2 linked regions of the Nothobranchius furzeri genome follow. The protein of the gene in region 1 interacts with the protein of each later gene in a pairwise test. Links are inferred from orthologs where the notes say so. Each region holds a gene or a part of one and is shown in the gene's direction. Other genes may lie near its edges.

Region 1 (4,575 bases):
TGCTGTCACCTTCAGCATCAGCAGTTTTAGTGTCTGTACTGCACGGGGAGAGACTTGAGTAGAGCAGGGGCGTGTCCAGGGAGTGGCCTGGGGTAGCACATGCCACCCTTGGAATCTGATTGGCCACCCCAGGTGCCACCACACTAATTTACCTTTAAATAGGCTTTTCATTGTCCACAAAAGGCTTGGGGGTAAAACAAAAAAAGCATAACCATTGGTGCTACCCATGCGCAAAATTGTGCCTCACCTGGGCCACCCCATTTTAAAAGATCTGGACACCCCACTGGAGTAGAGCCTTGGAGCGCTATCAAAGCTAGAAAATGCATCATATTTTTAAAGCACATAAATTGGGGTGAAATGCAACAATAACATAGATTAATAATATGACAAAGTTTATTAAATCTGGATTAATACGTCATTATAAAGACTGTTATCAGTGATAACTCAATGGTTTCAAAGTAATATAACACTCAATATCTTTAGAAACGAACACATCAAGTTGCTGGTTTTGTGCAGCGACTTTCCAACAGATGCTGATTCATTTCTTTGAATTATTAGTGCACGTGTGTGCCGAAGTTTGGTTACTCTCCGCTGAAACAACAGAATGACATGGAAAGATGCTGTGAAATATTGATCCAGTCAGTGTTGCGGAGATGCTTTTAAGATAATAAGAAGGAGAGGGCCTCGTGAAGAAATCGATTTGAATGGGAAGTGAAGAAAAGAGAGGTTTCTCCCCACACACCACAGATCATTTATAATGAGCTGGCGTGTCAATACTTTGGCTCTTCTCATGTATTGACCACTGGATCACAGCAACACCCGGTTTTTCTAATTTGTTTTGGCAACAAACACTGAGGGGAATGAATACATTTACAGTTAGGATACCTTCATCCTTGGTCAAACTCTGCAAAAATAATAAGCTTTCGATTCAAATATAATATAGACGTCTCTTAAACAAATATTGGTGGAGACATGACTGGTGCATTTTCCTTTTTCATGTGCTGCAGATGCTGAGGAGTGGTTTGCACACTTTACAAATGTAAACACTGCCCCCTCATGGTACCAGAGTCCTGGTGCATCTTTCTGTCTAAACTGGATCAAATGGGGCGATAAGAGAAGAAATCTTGCAGCGTCTGCAGTCTCACTGCATTGGATGGATGCTCTGCTGACCAGAGCACAGTCCTGCGGGATTTGTGACCAACATCCTTTCAGATTTGTAGTGAGAGTAGCCAGCATTACAACAATACACAGCAAATATTCCAGATTTATATCATTTAAACCAACAATTATTTTATCTATTTGTTGATTCAGATTCAGTTTTTGTCTTTTCTTTATCATGTAGAAAATTAATTTATATGTACAAACACTTGTAAAAATGTTGCTATATTTAATAACTTCAAGCTTTTCAACAGTATTTTGTACACTATTGTACATTATTTATGTGTTTCGTTTATTATGTTTACATTTTTGAGTGTAGTTTCAAATCAGAGAGCAACTAAATCAATTTTAAAATATTTTATGAGTATTCACTCCTGTGTAATGTTGACACTGTCCACTCCATGCCGAAAGGGGGCGCTGTGACCCTACTGCTCTACCATTAACACTGAAGGTAAAGGTGGCGCTGTTTCCGTCAGGCACTCATGTACACAACTCAAATTTAGATGATGAATTCTTCAAAGAGTAATGATGCCACGGACAGCAGCTGTCAGGGAGGTAATTTGGACACTACTGAAGAAGTGAAAGATGAGTTATGTCCTGGTTTCAAAGACGCGGACACCTTCGTTAAAGTAAGTAAACAAAACTAGCTAGCTAGCCAGTTTTTAGCTTATGCTAACAGTCCAACGTGGGTGAGCTGGTTGGCCAGTTAGCAGGATCATCATTGGGAGTTGAAGTCAAGCAAAGCAGAGACAATGACTTAACACTATTCATAAATTAAAGGTGCAACGGTGTGGTTGTGTGTAACGAAGCTTTTTGCCAACTAGCTTTTGACAGCTTTTTCATTTAGGGATCCAAATCAGCAGTAGATATAAGCTGATGATTAGAGCAAAATATGTTGCTACAAGCTTTTATTCCACTAGATTCGGGGTCTGCAGTATTTAAGCTTAAATAACCTTTTTATTGTCAAATATAATTTAGTAAAATAAACTATGAAGGCATGGCAGCTTTATTTGTGTAATGCATTTCATACAACGAGGCATTTAAATAAATAAGGAGCGCATGAAATATTTAATTTTGATTTAAAAGTTGCTAGAGTTGGGGCACACAAAAATCACCATTAAATTAAGACAAATGTTTAGATTTTTTTCTGTTTAGATTAGTTCTTCATATATTTTTTCTGTTTGGTCAAAGTTACATTTGGCCCCATCAGAAAGAATGAAAAGCTGCATTTTCCAACAGCCAAGCTTTTAGGCAAATCAACATCACATTTAAATCAAACCAATGAGATTTTAAATATTATTGCATTGTTATTATCCTTTAGTAATAGTAACAACTGAACCTGGTCTCTTTACAGTATGGTTTGGGTGCAGTGTTATCGGCCACCAAAGCTTCAGCTGGCTTACCTCAGTCTGGAGATGAGTATGATTTCTATCGGAGCTTCCCGGGATTCCAGGAGTTCTGTGAAAGTCAAGGAGATAAGCTTTTGCACTGGTAAGTGTAGTTTCTATTGGCACATGTCAATGATCAATCAGCATGTAACCAACACATAATTAACAATTATTTTATTCTTTTTGTCACTGACCAGTTTTTCAGAAGCAAGCTCAAGTTTAAACCTGAACTGAGTATTCTGAGTTCTGAGGGAGTAAAACAAGGTTTTAATCTGTTTAACTGTCTTTTAGCATGAGCCAGATAATGCAGAACCATGGCTGCAGATCTCACATAAAAGACCGGGACAAACTCACAGGAATAGAGGAGAGGTTTGACTTGGTTGTGGACTCGAATGATGTTATCCTTGAAAGAGCGGTATGACCTGCACCTTTGGCTCTAAATTACTTAATGAATGCAAAGACCTTTGCAGACCAACCAGGTTCTGCTGTCTGGTTTTTAGGGCATTCTTCTTGATGAAGCTGATGGGGTTAATCGGAGCCAGAAGCCTGTCATGCCTGTTGGGTTTCAGCCTCCGAAAATTGTTGTTTCTAGTTGGAATCGTAAGGTAGGTGAAATAAACAGTTCTTCCTGTTATCACAGTTTTTCTGTTTTGAACTACCTTCTTGCTTATCTATAAATTCTTATATCATAATAAGCAGAGTGTGTGTGCGTGTGTTTTTTTTTTTACAGGGTTCCAGCTCTGGCAGTCGTTCTGAGACATTCCGACTGCTCCATGCCAAGAACATTGCAAGGCCTCAGCTGAAATTCAAAGAAAAGGTCGACAACAGCAACACACCTTTTGTTCCAAAGATCTTCATCAAGCCCAATTCATTAAAGGCTCTTCCCTCCTGTAAGAAGCACCTTTGGCACATGTTTTGATTTGCCATTTCAACTCGTCAGCGTATCTGAGTTATTTATTTTCTTTTCTCAAACTGTAGATTTTACCAACAAACAAATTCGTAAAGAGAGGCCGGAGGACCTTGACGTCCCAGCTGCCCTGGCTGACTTTATCCACCAGCAGAGGACGCAGGAACATGTTGAAGACATGTGAGACTTGTCCCTGGTTGTGTCAACACCGTGTTTCATGTTTTCATTTCTCTAAGTAGAGTTTATTTTTTATTTTATGTAGGTTTGCACACCCGTACCAGTATGAACTGGACCATCTCATAGTACCAGAAAGCTTGCTGTCCAAGCCAGAGCCTCAAGTAATATTAACCTGTAGTAACCCAACAAAATCATCTTGTGCCGGTGTGTGTCTCATCTGTTTCTGTTCCTTCTAGATGTACAAACCGTTGGCTGAGACAAACCTAACCTTCGTCGACTCGCTGGAGGATCTAGTGACTCTCAATGAGAAGCTGTGCAAGTCGTCTGAATTTGCTGTGGATCTTGAGGTACTAAAGTCTCGTGTCTTTCTGTTCTAATTAAAATAAAAGTAGCTTTAGGAAGTCATTAAACTCTTTGGAGGCTGTTTTTCTGTTAAACATTTTCTTTTTTTTCTGTGACAGCATCATTCCTACAGGAGTTTCCTCGGCCTCACCTGTCTGATGCAGGTCTCCACCAGAGAGGAGGACTTCATCATTGATACTTTGGAGCTCCGCAGTGAATTGTACATTCTGAACGAGGCGTTTACCGACCCGAGTATCGTCAAAGTAATGAAACTGTTCTATAAATGAGTTAATTTAATGTTGAAGAGATGAGCTGAGTCTGACTTGTGAAGGGAGAGCGTGTCTCCATCATCCTAGGGAGCAGTTCTCCCTCAGCAGTTAAGATAAAAGCCAGATTTCCGTCTCATTAACATGTTTGATAAGGTTGGCAGGTGTCTTGTGCGTGGGAACCAGCGTGACTCACACTCTGCAGGACACCTCTGAACAAATATGATGTGTGGGCTTGGAACAGCTGAAAGATTTGTTAAATTATTCAAATTAAAGTGTTGCATATGTGTCCAGTTAATTTGTCTTTTTTAGTTCAGAGATGCTTTAATAAAAGCGT
Region 2 (4,541 bases), on another chromosome or scaffold:
AACAGCCAAGCTAACACTAAATAAGTATGTATAACACTAAAAGCTATGCTAAAGACTAGGATATGCTAATGCTATATGCTAATGCTGAACTACGGCTAGCCTCCTACACTCTCATGCAAATCCAACTCCCAACTCGCCACAAGGCGTGGCCGAGACTCCCGATGCTTTTATAACGTTGACACAGAGCTGCTACGTAGTACTCTACTGGATTACGTAGTATCTTACTCTTTAGCCATTGGCTAAAATTTATTCAAAATGAGTCAAATTCTATGTTTTAAGCTGAAGGTGGAGCTATACTGTGGTATTTAGGCAGAATTTTTAATTTTTTAAGAAAATGCACCAAAATGCTAAAATAATGAATACACACATTTAAAACACTATTAGACACTCATTTATACAGTTCATCAGCAAAAAAAAGTTAATTTAGACGTTACTTGCTCTTTAAGTTTGATCAGAAGTTGCTATGTGTATTGTTTATTTGAAAACTATTTACAGAGCAGCCTCAGAGTTGAGATTAAATGTTTTTGATCACAATAGTAAAGGAACTATTACAGAACAAGTTTTTCAATAAAATCAGAACATTAATATTTAAGTGCATGAATTAAGAGAGAGAGAGAGAAAAAAAGATCTTTTCTATAGCGCCTCTCAAGATAAAAATCACAGGGCGCTTCACAAAAACAAAACATGTAAAATAGAAAAAAGAATTTAGAAAATGATTAAATTAAAATGAGCAAAAAATAGACAATTGTGATTAAAAATGTAAAGAAAGAGAGAGAGAGTGAATAGGAAAGAGGGAGTGGATCCTCCTCAGGAAGAGGAGAGAGAGAGAGGGGGGGGGAAAAAGAACCCCGACTGGAGTGGAAGCAGTGACATAAGAATTAAGTCACACAACGTTTTCCACAAATGCACACGTTCATTCGGAAAGCCACACTCTTGTGTTTCACAAATATAATTCGGAGGAACACAAATGCACAAGCTCATTCGGAAATTCACACTCTTTGACTCATAAATATAATGTGAAAAAATAAGTCACGCAACATTTTCCACAAATGCACACGCTAATTCTGAAGTTCACACTCTGTGGTTCACAAATATTATTTGTAAGAACACTTGTAATATAAACTCACAGATCATCCGAATTGCTGAACGTGCATTTACGAAAAGCTTCTCATTTGTGAACCTTTCTGCGTTTGTGAGTGAAATCTGTGCGCTGAATTTTGGGGGCTTGTCTCCAGCATGTGTTACCATGGTGAATGGGAGGGGCTTCAAGCTAGCCACATTGGTCTTTAAATTATTGTTGGCTAATGTGTTTCGGTTTAAACAAACAAACATATAAACTGAAATAATTTACACAAATTCATCTTCGAGTGTTTTCACGGTCATGTCCTTTTATCTTTCTAGAAAAGGTTAGATGACCAGGATCCAATTCGAACAGCTGCTCGTGTTTGATTCATCATCCTTAACATCGACCATGCATGCGCATCAATGTTCGATTGTTTCAGACTGTGGTGAGCGCTTAGCCCAGTGGCTAATGCTAAGTGCTGATTGTTAGATCTAAACGAGTTCGTTTGAATGAGTTCGGATTTACTTTAAATTAGTATAAATTAATCGGCACAATATGGCGGAAGATTCATTCAAACTGTCAAAAAACCTGCTGCGGATGAAGGTAAGCGTTAGCTGCTAGCTCTGCGCCGAACGTCATTGACTAAACAGAAATGAACGTTTGATGTGTGATAAGAAGACGCTAGTTTCCTCCCAGATGCTGACTCCAAGCAGCGTTTATCACCCTGAAACTGAACTTGAATTCGGGGTAAAGCAACGAGACGAAGCGGATTTAGGCGTGTTTCAGAGATGTATCTGATCTCTGTGAACCCGTGGAGGAGCGGGATGTGCCTCCTTCATCTGGACCACTCTGAACCAGGACCGAACCTGAGAGAAGATTCTACCAAAGTCCAAAAAAATCCGAACCACAGCTCACAAAAAGCCAGAGCTTCTGGTGCAATGATTAGAATCTTCACTCCCAACACGTCCTCCATCCTGAGCAGCACCACGCAACGTCCTACAGAATCAAGTCCAGGATGGACCGACTGGTTCTGGGAGACCTGGTGGCCGCCAGAGAGGAGCCTGGGAAGGGAAAGCTGTGCCTCTTGTTTTACTGTTAGAACCTCTAGGAAGGAACCAAACTTGCTGCTGCCTGAGAACCAGGAGTTGTGGGAAGAGAGAAGATTTCTGATGGAAGTCAACTTTAGAAGTTCTGGATCTTCCAGGAAGCTGATGATCTTGGCAGCATTGTTGTGGACCTGGCTAACGGTGGTTTTGGTTGGGTCCAGATTGAGTAAATGTGTGCTTTGTGTTTCAGTTTATGCAGAGGGGACTGGATGCTGAGACAAAGAAGCAGCTGGACGAAGACGAGAAGAGGATCATCAGTGATGAACACTGGCACCTGGACCTGCCGGAGCTCAAATCTAAAGAGTATGAGAACAGGAATCCCACTAGCCTGGCGAGCCACGACCCATAGACAGATCTAAATAATGGGGTGGGATCTACGTTTTTTTTTTTTTGTTTTCCAATAACATCCTGCCTACTTAGTGTTGCGATTGGTCCATGAAATCTATATAGCGCCATGATTGGACCACTACAGAACAGCAGCCATCTTTATTTGTAGTTTACCTGGCTGATACCTATGTTTGGACAGTTTCGAGCGGCAGCCATGTTTGTTTGCAGGGACATCCCTCCCACCTCGCTAAAAGAGCACTGTGATTGGCCCAACAAACCAGTAAAACACTGATTGGAATGCCACGGATGTCAGTCAACGGGGCAGCCCGCCGTTACATTAAAAAAAAAAGTAAAACAGCGCGCCAGCACTAGCCTGGCAAGCCAGACTAAATAAATGTATTATTTAGGCAGGATGTTGTCTGAAAACTCAAATTTTATTGATCCTATTTATCTTAATAATTCCCACAAAACTAGATGGTACTAGATTAGTAGTAAAAAGTATTGGTATTGGGCGGCAATACTAGCCCCTGTATTTACTTGGTATCGGATCGATACCAAATTTTGCAGTATCGTACAGCACTACTGACTAGTCGGCGGTCAGCCGCTCGTTTGAAATGGCTTTGGCGTCAAGTTTGGACTATTATGACTTTTTAGCTTTTGTTTGAGTCAAGATCAGATAGAAGTACTAACGTTTATTTAGGAAAAGGATGTGTTTTGCATCTTCTTTGACGGAGTTTGGTGGACTGCCTCGTTGACCGACATCTGTAGCGGTGAGTAAATCAATGCTTGCCAGGCTAGAAGAAACGGAATCGATACCATCACGCAGGTATCTAGTAAATACTCAATACCAACGTTAGATCGATACTATCGATATCTTAGCTCGATCCGCCCAGCCCTATTTGTCAGTTTTACTGCCTCGACGCTCCGCAGCTACAACATGGCCGCCGCCTCCTCTCTTTCCATTCAATGTTTCTGGTAGCAGCGGTAAACAAGGCTTTGAAGTATCGCGCAAATTCATTGTGACTCGAGACATGTGAGGTTTGTCTTATTTTACTTACTGCATTATGAAAGTAAACAGCGCGTGCACACACACACACACACACACACACGTTTATTTGTCAGGACGGCTCTCCTCCTCACTGCACCTTCGCTCGGCCAGTGCTTCTTCCCCGGCTCCTCGGGCCCCGCCGCCGCGCTGATTTGTTTTAAAGAAAAACAACCTCAAAAGTCATTAGATGGTTACAACCTGTCTGTGTCTGGTCATGTGGGGCCTTTCCCTTTTTTTATTCTGTCATGAGACTGTGGCCTAGTCCACACGTAGCCGGGGTTTTTTAAAAACGAATATCCGCCCCTCCAAAAACTTGCATCCACACCACCTCGTTTTAAAAACAAACTGTCCACACGTACCTGGATAAATACGTTGTTAAGGACATGCCAGACCTGTAGGCGGCAGTACTTTCCCCGTTCTTAACCTCGTCCTTCGTCTGTGGTCTTCCGCAAGGAGCAGTAATTCCTCTTGCAAAAACAAACAAGCAGAAAGCGCTTGGACAATTGATAAAGCGAGCGCAGCTCTGAGGGCATCCATGCTGTCGGCTAGTGTAAACACAGGTCGCACACGTGATGTCAGCATTGCTTTGTCGCAGAAAGTGACGTTGCGGACCTTAAAACTCCGGTTTTGTCCGTCCACACGCAGACACCCAACACGGAGAAAACGCACATCTTCACTTTGGCCGGAGTTTTTTTAAAAAGATCAGTTTTCGTGTGGATGACAGGCCAAAACGTAGAAAAATATCTACGTTTTGGCAGATCCCCGGCTACGTGTGGACAGGGCCTTTGTCTGCCACAAAAAGGGTGGTTTATTCACTAGAATTCTCTCCGTGGTCGTCAACCATGTCCTTCAGTGTATTTTGTGAGCTGGACACCTTGATGTTTACTTGTGCAGCCTACAGCTCTACGTGTGTAAACATGCTGATGGATTGAGCTCTGTTTATGACAACTAACAGATAAACGCTGGTTGTCAACAGAGCGGTGCCGGCTTCTTGCCC

Evidence for each region.
Region 2: the proteins of exosc10 (region 1) and mphosph6 interact in binary tests that used the Homo sapiens proteins (3 or more experiments, as listed by UniProt). The link is inferred for Nothobranchius furzeri from reciprocal best matches to the Homo sapiens genes EXOSC10 and MPHOSPH6.

What each region holds. Positions count from the first base shown.
Region 1 is NC_091755.1:29,809,066-29,813,640, reverse strand, and holds the start of exosc10 (exosome complex component 10), read left to right. Parts: upstream 1-1,581; 5' UTR 1,582-1,661; coding exon 1,662-1,787; intron 1,788-2,512; coding exon 2,513-2,649; intron 2,650-2,837; coding exon 2,838-2,961; intron 2,962-3,046; coding exon 3,047-3,151; intron 3,152-3,276; coding exon 3,277-3,436; intron 3,437-3,524; coding exon 3,525-3,633; intron 3,634-3,715; coding exon 3,716-3,791; intron 3,792-3,866; coding exon 3,867-3,977; intron 3,978-4,091; coding exon 4,092-4,235; intron 4,236-4,575. UniProt on the Homo sapiens protein: Catalytic component of the RNA exosome complex which has 3'->5' exoribonuclease activity and participates in a multitude of cellular RNA processing and degradation events.
Region 2 is NC_091744.1:80,075,171-80,079,711, forward strand, and holds the start of mphosph6 (M-phase phosphoprotein 6), read left to right. Parts: upstream 1-1,466; 5' UTR 1,467-1,618; coding exon 1,619-1,666; intron 1,667-2,359; coding exon 2,360-2,472; intron 2,473-4,541. UniProt on the Homo sapiens protein: RNA-binding protein that associates with the RNA exosome complex. Involved in the 3'-processing of the 7S pre-RNA to the mature 5.8S rRNA and play a role in recruiting the RNA exosome complex to pre-rRNA; this function may include C1D.